Linked DNA regions of Pelodiscus sinensis. Each later gene encodes a partner of the first gene's protein in a complex. Links are inferred from orthologs where the notes say so. Each region holds a gene or a part of one and is shown in the gene's direction. Other genes may lie near its edges. The genes, in order: CC2D2A, AHI1 and MKS1.

What was found.
Region 2: CC2D2A (region 1) and AHI1 share a complex: the UniProt entries of both Homo sapiens proteins name them as parts of the tectonic-like complex. The link is inferred for Pelodiscus sinensis from reciprocal best matches to the Homo sapiens genes CC2D2A and AHI1.
Region 3: CC2D2A (region 1) and MKS1 share a complex: the UniProt entries of both Homo sapiens proteins name them as parts of the tectonic-like complex. The link is inferred for Pelodiscus sinensis from reciprocal best matches to the Homo sapiens genes CC2D2A and MKS1.

Annotation. Positions count from the first base shown.
Region 1 is NC_134715.1:107,494,354-107,498,100, reverse strand, and holds the start of CC2D2A (coiled-coil and C2 domain-containing protein 2A), read left to right. Parts: upstream 1-1,454; 5' UTR 1,455-1,852; intron 1,853-1,902; exon of another isoform or gene 1,903-2,130; 5' UTR 2,131-2,193; coding exon 2,194-2,230; intron 2,231-3,747. UniProt on the Homo sapiens protein: Component of the tectonic-like complex, a complex localized at the transition zone of primary cilia and acting as a barrier that prevents diffusion of transmembrane proteins between the cilia and plasma membranes.
Region 2 is NC_134713.1:96,669,362-96,673,108, reverse strand, and holds the start of AHI1 (jouberin), read left to right. Parts: upstream 1-1,383; 5' UTR 1,384-1,573; intron 1,574-3,747. UniProt on the Homo sapiens protein: Involved in vesicle trafficking and required for ciliogenesis, formation of primary non-motile cilium, and recruitment of RAB8A to the basal body of primary cilium.
Region 3 is NC_134731.1:16,308,394-16,312,140, reverse strand, and holds the start of MKS1 (tectonic-like complex member MKS1), read left to right. Parts: upstream 1-1,062; 5' UTR 1,063-1,081; coding exon of another isoform or gene 1,082-1,140; coding exon 1,141-1,220; intron 1,221-1,588; coding exon 1,589-1,710; intron 1,711-3,024; coding exon 3,025-3,092; intron 3,093-3,747. UniProt on the Homo sapiens protein: Component of the tectonic-like complex, a complex localized at the transition zone of primary cilia and acting as a barrier that prevents diffusion of transmembrane proteins between the cilia and plasma membranes.

The DNA of each region.
Region 1 (3,747 bases):
ATTTCGAAAGAACGCGGCTTGAGTCTGGACGCAGGTGAGGTTTTTTCGAAAAAAGGCTACTTTTTTCGAAAAAACCCCTGAGTCTGGACACAGCCTGAGGTACTAGGGAGGGAATTTATCCCTTATCTGGAGTTGAGGTTTATGCAGAGATCCAACAGGGTACATACAGCTTGCAACCGTGTAACCTGAGCTCTCATTTGGATTTAAGAGTGCCTTAAACAGATTTATTTGAAATTGATTCCTTACTGACATAAACTAAATAGATATCAGAGCTCTTAAATCAAGGTAGCAGTTACAAATCATGGAGGGTGTACCTATATAGGCTGAATCATTTTCTGAACAGTTTGAATTAAATCACTAACTTCATCATGCAGACAAAGCTTTAGGAACATCTGTAAATTTCAGATTTGGCAAGAATGAACCAGCTAAAAGTGAGAAGGAACACCATTCTTGCAATAAACTGTATATGGACCAATCATGGACAGTTTGTAGATGCTTTACAATAATGGGTAACTCATACACAATTTATATTTGTCGACTTGATTCACTTTTATAGGGAATTATAAAAAAAACCTTGTAGATATATTCTGAAGATCATATGTCCTGGCTACAAATAGCAGGAAATTATTCCGTTTTCAAAACCATAAAACTGTTTTTTTCAAGTGTTAAATATTTTTAACGTTACTTCTAAGTTAATAGGGTCCACTGGATGCAGAGGTATTCCTTTGTGAAGTCTGTTGCATGATGAGTGCTTGTGCATTAATGTGTACATCTGATTTTAATAATTTTTGTATTACAGGCAGGTATCAATTGCTGCAAACATGAATTTCAATGAAGAATCCCAGATTATGGCTATGGAGGTTAGTCTGATTAGTTACAGTAAATGCATAGATGGATTATGGGGCATTTCTTTCTTTCTAAAAAGTATGATAGGGTTTTGTTCATATCACACTTTTGCTAGTTACTAAATAGTAATATACAGATTTCGTAATATAGGAGTTAATTGTCCTTTGGGTAAATGCAAGTGACTCATTATAATTGATAGGGATTATATGTGGCTATTAAGAAAAAATGTATTTCTGTGCAAATCAATCAAACATAATACAATGCACTATATTTAACAAACACTAGTTTTTAATGTTATTCCTAAATCATTGAGCATAAGATGCTTTTTATATTACATTAGTAATTATTGTAGTGCTTGCTGTGTAGGGGGCATTTTCCAAATACTCAAAAAAGGACAGTCCTGCCTCTGAGTTCAAAATCTAAGGACAGACAAGTACCATAGACAGGTTAAATGGAAGGCAACTGGAATGGCCATATGCACGTTATATACAAGTCCACTTTAATTATAGGCAATATGAAATAAATGCACAATCTTTGTGATCATGTGAGTTAGTTACGACACCAAGTTTTCAAAAACTGTGAAACTGTTCTTGAAGTGACGAAGGGTTGTTTTACTCGGAGCTAACGGTTCTATGTCGCAGCCCCCGAGGAGCTGTGAAGTTTGCAGGTTTCCATGCCATGGAGTCGGCACGAGGGTAGCCGGCCCCGCAGATAAGCTGCAGGCGCGAGCCCAGTGCCGAGCGCAAGTTAGCCGAGGCCCGGCCGATAAGCAGCCGCGTTAACTAGACGACGCCCGGCAGAGCTGGGGCCCAGCTCCCACCGCGCTTAGCGCCCCTGCGTGGGACGATGCCCAACACGAGGGCGGGGCTCCACTGGCGGCACCCGCCGAGCCCCACGGCGGGCTAACCCCTGTGCCTTTCCCTCCCGCGGCGGGCGGGAGGCGCCGGCCCACGGGGCGCAGCTGAGGCAGACGCTGACGGCTCAGAGGCGGGGAAGAAAGCAGCCCGTGAGTTCGGGGGCGGGGCGACCCTTTCACGTTCGCGCAGTCGGTTGCCGCGGCAGCTTCCTCTCCGGAGGGCCAGCAGACCTGCCGCGCATGCGCGCGAGCGCGGGCGGCGGGTTGCTAGGCACCGCGCAGAGAGCTTTGCCTGGCGGGAGCGGGACGGTGGACTCGCAGAGCGGTGACCAGGGCGGGCGCGGAGCACATCCGGGTGACGGGGAGGGGCCCTTCGCGCTGTGCAGCGCCCCCTGACGTGCGGTTCCTTTCCCCTCCTCCCCCCCCAGCTGCTGGAGGCCGTTGGTCCCGCTGTTTCGCTGGCGGAGGAGGAGGAGGAGGACCCGGCCGGGATGGCGGCGCCTGCTGCCAGCGCCCGGACACCGCGCAGTAAGTGTCTGAGTGATCGGGGGGGATTCCCGGGCCGCAGCCTCCACCCCTTGCCTACGAGCTTCCGACGCCGCTGTGGCCGCGCCTCCAGCTCCCACTTTTCTTGGGGTGGGGGAGGAGCCTGCTGGGGCAGCTCCGGGACTGGGGCGGCGCCGGTGTAGCGAGCAAAACACTAACTTCTCAGAATTTGCTACTTTGGGTGCACTGAGCATGCGCACCCGAACTGAGCAAACTCAGTGTCCCTCGCTGTAGCCGCTGCCCACTCTCTGCCCTCACTGCCTCCTCAGATTTGCTTCCTCCTCTTCGGAGGTGTTTAAAATGATGAAGGGGGGCAAATTGCAGGGGGGGTAGTGTCTGGTTCTGAGCATGGGGCAGAAATTTACCGGCTGGAGGCATCAATCTTCTTTTTTTAGCTGCAGAAGAGGGGCAAAATTTGAAAAATCAGGGGGGTGGGGGGTGGTAGCCTTGGTTAACCCCGGGCTGGGGGACACTGCCAGACCCTGTGCACGGAGAAAACCCCCGTTTAGGGAGGGGGAGAGGTGGGAACAGTCATCCAGCAGGACAAGCCACCTGATGTCCTTGAAAATATCAGTTTTCCAGGGGCAAAGTCTTTTTTTTTCTTTATTTTCCCTGGACGCTGCCTGTCAGCCCCCGAGCAGGGGGCGGGCTCCTGGGCTTGAGTTCTTAAAGGCACAGGCCTCCCAATTCCTAGACGGTCAATGCTTAGACACCACCGTTCCTCTGTATATGTACAAGTGTGAAATATTCTACATACAGTTCCTGTCTCAAACTCTGCCTCTCACTTTTTTAGTATTTAATAGTTTTCTCTTTGTTTCTCTATCAGAAGTCACTGCATCTCCTTTCTCTTGTGTACTATGCTGATATGCTAAAGTCCCTCCCATCCACACCCTCACCTGTACTGCAATCCCCTGACCCATGGCAGATCCCACACCTGTCCCCCAAACTCCCCCTAGCAAGCACCCCTCATGCACCCAAACTCCGTCCCAGATCCTCATCACCAAACATGGGCAAGTATCGGAGGGGTAGCTGTGTTAGTCTGAATATGAAGAATCGTTGAGGAGTCCTGTGGCACTATCTTCAGTTCGTCTATAAGGTGCCACAGGACTCCTCGCCAACATGGCCAAGTGAAATTTTAGTGATTCCTCCCGTAGTCAATGGGGACATGGGTCAGAGAACTCAGAGCAGGGGGCTCCAACATTTTGAAAGTGCAATCCAATATGTACCTTATATATAAATACCCTTTTCCCGCTTCCTTCTTACCCCTTCTCCAAGTCCCAGATCCTGCTCCCTCTATCCTCCCTCTCTTGCCCATCCTCAGTCTCTTTCATCAGCCTGGGACAGACGGTTGGGTGCACATGCTCTGGTCTTTGCTTAAGGGATCTGGAGTGTGAGAAGGGCTCTGATCAGCTCTTGGAGCATGCATTTACTGTGGAGTTCTAGGTGCAGGCTTTGGCAGGGTATTTGGATGCATGGGTGCTCAGAGCAATGATAAGGGC
Region 2 (3,747 bases), on another chromosome or scaffold:
CAACTAGTCAACACAATTTGCATCAACTATTTGATTAGCCAATATGGGTGTCTTGCCTTTGAAGTGTAGCAACACCCCCCACAGTGCCAGTAGTTTCCTGCTAGCCCCATGCTCCCAGTGGTGTTTCAAAGCAGCAATGCTACAGGGAGCCCAGGGTTAGCAGGGGAAAGTGAGGGGCCCCTTCCACTGCTGCTTTGAAGCACCTCCTCCTCTTTCCCCCGTTACTGCCTCTTTCTCATAGAGGCAGGGGGGGGGGGGGGAGTAACTAGTCAATTAGCCTGTTAGCTAGTCATTCACATTCCTCCTCTTTTCTTTTCTCCTATCTTTTAAGTACTAGTCCCCAACTTACAAACACAGCGACGTACGACCCGCTGCACTCACAACCAACTTCCCATTAAGCACGGCCCCGATTTACAAACAGCAATCCACGCTTACGAACAGCACGGTCCCATTGAAATGAATGGGGTCCAACTTATGAACACGTCTTTACGACCAAGTGCTTGGTGCTTAACTCGTTAGTGAGTTGGGGACTACCTGTAGAGTGCCTGGCCATGTTTTCATGAAGATCTAATGAGCTTAATTACTGGAAGGCCCAGCCTTATGCTTAAGCACCTGCCTCCCTTCTTTTTATAACAAACTCCCTGCCCCAAAGGCAAAGCTGCGAGCAGCTCAAAATCTCCTTGCGTTTAAGAACTGCCTCTGGGAGCAGGACATGCCGCTTTCAAGTGACCTCAAGTTTGAAATCCAAGGGGTCTAACTTTAAGGAGGGGTCTCTGGCGCCCGCGGCTGAGGGGCCAGTTCTCCACTCCTAAGCCAGGTGGCGGGCTCTATTGCAGGGAGCGCGCGAGTGAAACTGACCAGACCCCCGGGCAGGGCGCCATGGCAGCAGGGAAGGGCCGGGCAACGGGCCCGCTGGTTTCAGCAGGAGCCCTCCCGTCGCTTACTAGGCTTGGGGCAGGCCCAGAACGCCCGGCCCCTCCCTTCACTCAGCCAGCGCGGGCGGCCTCGAACTCGACCCGTGCCAAGGCCAGAACCGGCGGCAGGGCCCTTAGCCTGGCGCACGGGGCGAAACCATCTCGGCGCCCTGCACGCTGGCATCAGAACGCCCCACTTCTTGCGCGCGCGCGCCACGTCTCGCCCAACTCCTTCCCCTGCCTCAGTCTCAAGCGCATGCGCCTTGCCCCTCCCTCCCGCAACGGCCTCCCTTAATTTTAAGTAGCGCGTGTTCGTGCCGTCTTCAGGACTCAGCAGTGACGCGTGTGTTTCCGTTGCATTTTTGGTGGGGGGCGGGAGGGGAGAGTGACCTCCGAAGAAGTCCCGGATGTGCGTTCCCCTATTTCCTTCCCGGCGTGTAAAGCGATCATTCAACACGTCGCGTCCCGCTGTCAGCGCAGGCGCAGTTTGCCAGGCGTTGTTTCCTTGGCAGCTGACGCTGTTGTTTGTTGTCGGCGAAACTATAGCGCGCGAGGCGGCGGAGGGGGATGAGGGAGAAACCAAGTGGCGGCGGGGGGGGATGGAGAAGGGACCCGCCGCGCCACTCCTAACTAGAGACGGTGCAAGAAGCCCGGCCGAAGTGAGTGAGAGCCGCTGCCCTGCGCGCGCTGGCGGGGAGGGAAAGTGGGAGGGGGCGGAAAACTGGGTCTCCACCCTGGACGCGTCCCCACGCCCGAGCTCGGCCCCGATCCTCGCAACTGCACCCGCGTCCCTGGCGGCGGGAGGCGCTGGCCGGGCGCTGCTGGCCGAGGCACCCGGGATGAGCCCGGATGGGGGGGTGCAGCGACTCCCGCGGGCTAGGGCAGCGCTCGCACTTTGCTGCCTCCCCTGGGCCCTGCGCTTTCCCAGTCCTGGGGCAGGACTCCGTGGAGGCGCGTTTGTTCAGCGTAGGGATGCCTGGCACCGTGGGTAGCTGGTGAAGGGGGGGAGGACTTGGGGAGACAAGCCCCCACCCCACCTGCAGCCCCGCCCCTTCTGCTGAGGCCCTGCCCTTTCCCTGCCCACATGGGGAGGTGGGGCAGCCCAGCCATGGGGAGGGGGTGGCTGCTCGCCCTTGTCTCCCCTAGCTGTGGAGTGCTGCAGGGAGGGTGTCGATAGGGGCAGCAGCGCTCCACCCCCAGAAGTCCTAGCGTAGACGTTCTGGGAGCCGAGTGTAGGTGGGGTCAAGCCTGGTGGTTTGAGAAGGTAAAGCCTTCCCCTGCCTTACATACCGGATGTCCATTGCTGGCGCCACCCCCATAACCTGGGCTGTGGGGCATGAGGCTGGGCTGTCCAGAGCTGTTCTCCTGGCCCCAGATAATTTCCAGTGAATGAATGGCTGGCAACGCAGATTATGCTGCAGAGCCAATGTTTTAATAAGGCTCTGGAGATGGTCCTGGCTGTTACAGTACAGGGCAAAGTAGTTGAAACTAATACAGAACTGAATTATGAGACACATCGGTGAACACGGTTTGAAGAAGAATCAACATGGCTTTTATCAAGGAAAATCACGTCTTGCCAATCTGTTAGAATTATTTGAAGGAGAGATGTGGGGAGGAGAGGGGGGATCAACAAACATGGACAAAGGTGATCTGGTGGATATAGTGTATTTGGGCTCCCTCACCAATGGTGCTTGAACAAAATAACCAGTCATGGGATAAAAAGGAAGGTCTTGTCCTGAATCAGTAACTAGTTAAAAGATAGGGGGGAAAGGATAGGAATAAATGGTCAGTTTTCAGAAAGGTGGAAAGTTAATAGTGAGGTCCTCTAAAGACCACTAACTGGGTGGTAGGGATATAAAGTCCCATTTAATTAGTTAACAAGTTATAATAATTGTTTAACCAGTTAACCGATTACATGGAGGGGGCCTCCCGCTTCAACCAGTTAAGTGTAGCAAATGGGTGAGGCTTACCTGTTAGCCGGTTAACCATCCACATTCCTACTGGATGTGAATTCACATCCCCACTTTCAAAGGACAATTAAACCATTAATTTTTGGTGGAGAAAACATTTTGAAGGTCTTAATCGTAATTTCATGGTTGCAGATGAAGTTCTTGGGCAAATCCCTCAAAGACCTAGGAATGAGCTTGGAGACTCTCCCAATTTGCATGAGATATACAGTGCCATTAAGCAGATGAAGAACAACAAGACAGCAGGTCCAGATGGGATCCCTGCTGACAACTTTAAAGATAGTGGACCAGAGTAAATTCAGCAGCTAAGCTTGCTTATCCTGAAAATCAGGATAGCAAGTGAAATGAGGGACACCTTGATTGTTACCCTTTTTAAGAAAGGGGATAAAGTGGCCTGTGGAAACTATCATGGAATCTCTCTCCATGCTGTTAGAGGCAACATTCAGATCCTTGCAAACTATCTTTTGCACCTGTCAGAAATTTTTTTACCAGTGTCCCAGTGTTACTTCCGACCATACTGCAGATATGATCTTTGTTGCATGACAGCTAAAATAAAAGTGTCAGGAGCAAAACCAACCACTGTACTAGGGATGTTAAATATCAGTTAATTGAATAGTCAAGTACAGGCAGTCCCCGGGTTACGTACAAGATAGGGACTATAGGTTTGTTCTTAAGTTGAATTTGTATGTAAGTCGGAACTGGCTCCAGATTCAGCTGCTGCTGAAACTGATCAGCGGCTGACTACAGGAAGCCCTAGGCAGAGTTGATCTGCCCCCGGCTTCCTGGAATCAGCCGCTGATCAGTTTCAACAGCGGCTGAATCTGGACTCCTGGGACAGAATAGCTGGGGCACTGCCGGGTAGGTCC
Region 3 (3,747 bases), on another chromosome or scaffold:
CCCATTAAAAATAATGGAAAAGGTGGGGGTTGCATTTCAGATGGCAATGGCAAAGTCAGTTTTTTGTTGGTGTTAGATCTCTAGCAACACAAGTCACTGCAGTTTGTTAAAACACAAAGATAATCACGAGTGAAGGGAGGAGCACTGTGACCATGTGTACTCATCTGCTCATGCATATTACCACTGTTTTCACAAACTTATACCGCCACATAAAGTAGTCTGCCACTTGATTATTTTTGTGTTATTTTGGGAATGGTTGTGTTATTCGAAAAACATTCCCTAAAAAAAAAATCATGCTATTGCAAAAACGTATTAAGCGGCACATGTTAAATGAGTAATTACTGTAACTGTGGTTCTGGGAGACATCATGCAGATGTGTGTTCCAGCGACCCACCCTCCATTTCCTTTGCATCAGTTTGTTCTTCAGTGCAAAAGAACTGAGAGGGTTGGGACAGTACCACTTCATATAGCCATGGTCCAGGCTATAGCCACAAGATGCAAATTCTCCTGCTCTTGAGCAGATGACATCTGAGCGCTTGTGTCCGTTTGGTTCTCTAGCCAGGACTGTCTCATACAAAGCTTTGCTAGTGAACAACCACCACATAGTCACGCCCAGCTGTATTGGTGAATATTATGCCCAGCCACGCAAAAATCGATGCTGGGTACATGTTCTAGGTCCAGCCTTGCACCCCGGTCCATCCCGTCACTGAACAGAGCAAACGCACAAACGCATTTCTTTGGAAAGGAAATAACCAAGCCAAAGCATTTGTGAGCGCATGGGGATGTCCCACGGCGCTGGTTCGGACACGAGTCTCAGGAGAGAACCTGCAGCTCTCGGGAGTCCGCAGAGCTGGAAAGCCAGGCCGGCCCCCTCCCCGCCCCGCCCCCCAAGGGGGGTCCTTGTCTTTTGACCTAGTGTGCGTCTACTGTGGGGCAAGCGACGTGCCTGTTCCCTGGCTGCCGGGCAAGCCCCCGTCGCAGGCTCTGCGCAGAGCCCGCACCCCTCCCCCCCCGACCCAGCACACCCCCCCGGCCCCCGCAGAGCCCGCACCCCCCCCCGGCCAGGGGAGACGGGCCGCGCATGCTCAGCAGAGGCCCCGCCCATCTCCATGGGGCGCGGACGCGCTTTCGGGCCGGGCCATGGCGGAGCCGTGCTGGAGCGCGGAGGCGGGGGGGGCGGTGTATCGCTCCCGGGACCCCGTGCGGGGCCTGCGCGTCCGGTCAGGGCCCGCGGGGTGTTCCGGGGGGGCGGGGTGTCGTGGGGGGGGCAGGGAGTGTGGGGTGTCGGGGGGTGTGGTGTCGGGGGGGGCGGGGAGTGTGGGGTGTCGGGGGAGGGGTGTGGGGTGTCGTGGGGGGGCAGGGAGTGTGGGGTGTCGGGGGGTGGGGTGTCGGGGGGGGGGCGGGGAGTGTGGGGTGTCGGGGAGTGTGGGGTGTCCCATGGAGGGTACCTGGGCCCCTTTGGGGCGTTGTTGTGGCACAGCAGGCTGGGGTGCCTGGGGAGGGCCCAGGCAAGCGGCCCCTGGCGCCTTCCTCCCTCCCCTGCCCTGGGCAGCCTGCTGACTCCAGCCTGGTGCTCCTCCCTGCCCAGGGTGCATGTCCAGCATGTCACTTCCACCAGCCTGCTCCTGCAGCAGCTCCAGCAGCCCTCTAGCCAGCAGCAGGGGAAGGATCTCATCAGCCTGGCCACCTTCAGCTCCCATCCAGCAACAAGTAGGTGGTTCATGGCTGGTGTCGGATGGGGACCCATCTCTCCTGTGCAAGGCCTCACAATGGCTTCTGCCACTTGGCCGAAGCCCCACTGCACAGGTCGCAGGCAGGGAGAGATGCCGGACTTGCAGCAATCTCAGTGGAGGGGAGATGGCATTTTTACACCTTTCAACCCCACAGAGTACAGGACAGCCTCAGCTTCTCTGGGCTACCTCATATGAAGACCTGTCCTACCTGTGGATGGAACAGGTGCCCCGTTTCTCCCCCTGGATATTCTGATAGTGGTAGGAAGTGCCTCCTTTTCCCAGCCAGGGAGCAACTGGTGAGACAGGGATTTAATACCTGTGGTAGGATAAGGTGTCAGAGTGGGTGCATCTTTGCTAGGGAAAAGGTGTGCCTTGACCTCGTTAGCAACTACAAGGTCAAATCCTAGTGAGGACAAGCCACTTGGTAGTTTTTACATGTTAGCACCTCAGAGTAAAGTCTTGCAAAATACTTGGCTCAATTTGCTAATACATGTGCTGACCGCAGACTTTGGGATTTGATCTTTTTAGTTATCAACTGTTAGTTAATTTGCAATGAGAACACATCTTTTTCTTAGTGAAGAAGCACCTTCCAATTCTTGTTTCTTTTTCTTGGTGCATCATGTTGAAGAAGGAAATTCCACCCTCTTTGACCTTAGGCATTTGTATTGCCAATTGAGCATTATACCTAGTTGCAAAACAGGCTTCCAGGGCTATTCCACTCACAGGGCTCATTGTCTTTTCTCTTGCTGAAAAGTGAGACTGGCTGTGAGCAGAAGAACATAAAAATAGTAACATTGCATCATATCAATGATCCATTTATCCCCATATCTTGTCTTCTAACAGCAGCTGGTACCAGGGGCCCCAGAAGGAATGAACTGAAGAGGCAATCATTAAGTGATTCTTCCCGTCACTTATTCCCAGCTTTTGGGAATCAGAAGCTAGTGATATCCAGAGCATAAGGGTGCATTCCTGATCATCTTGGTTTATAGCCATAGATAACGTTAGCCCCCATGAACTAACAGTGGATATTTCCAGAAAGCCTTTGACAATTTCCCTCACCAAAGGCTCTTAAGTAAAGTAAGTTGTCATGGGATAAGAGGAAAGGTCCTTTCATGGATTGATAACTGGATAAAAGACAGGAACCAAAGGGTAGGAATAAATGATAAGTTTTCAGAGTGGAGAGAGGTAACTAGTGGGGTCCCTCAAGGGTCTATCCTGGAACCAATCCTGTTCAACGTGGAGGGAAGAAGCACATGTGTGAAGAAGTGACCAGCCCCCTATTGTCTTTCAGGTGGCTATCGTGCCGACGATGAGGAAGAGGAGGCCGTGATTGGCTGGCAAGATAAACTCTTCAGCCAGGTGAATAAGCAGAAGGCTGGAAGTGACCCCTCAAGTGGCAGATAGTACTCAGAATAGTATAGTGGATAGTGTGTGTCCAGTGCAAGGGGACTTGGCTTCATCTCCAGGTCCCAGAGCAGAATGGAGGGCCTGTTCCTCTGGCTCACAGTTAGAGATATACGTGCTGCTGCAGTTCAATATGGTTTATATTCTCTAGCCTCTCATGGCCACTGCAGCCTCTAAACTCCACTAGGAGAAAATGGAACATGTTTCTGATTTAGAATTATCCCAACTGCTTGCCTGTGCCATCTTGTCCATGTCTGTAGGGGATGAGTGGAGGGTACTCATTAAACAAGAATGATTAAAGGTCTAGGGTACATGAGCTGTAAAGGAAGACTGAAAGAATTGGGCTTGTTTAGTTTGGAAAAGAAAAGATTAAGAGGGGACATGATAGTGGTTTTCAGGTATCTAAAAGGGTGTCAGAAGGAGGAGGGAGAAAACTTGTTCTTCCTGGTCTCTGAGGATAGAACAAGAGGCAGTGAGCTTAAACTGCAGCAAGGGAGGTTTAGGTTGGACATTAGGAAAAAGTTACTGTCAGGGCGGTTAAACACGAATAAATTACATAGGGAGGTTGTGGAATCTCCATCTCTGGGGATATTTAAGAGTAGGTTAGAAA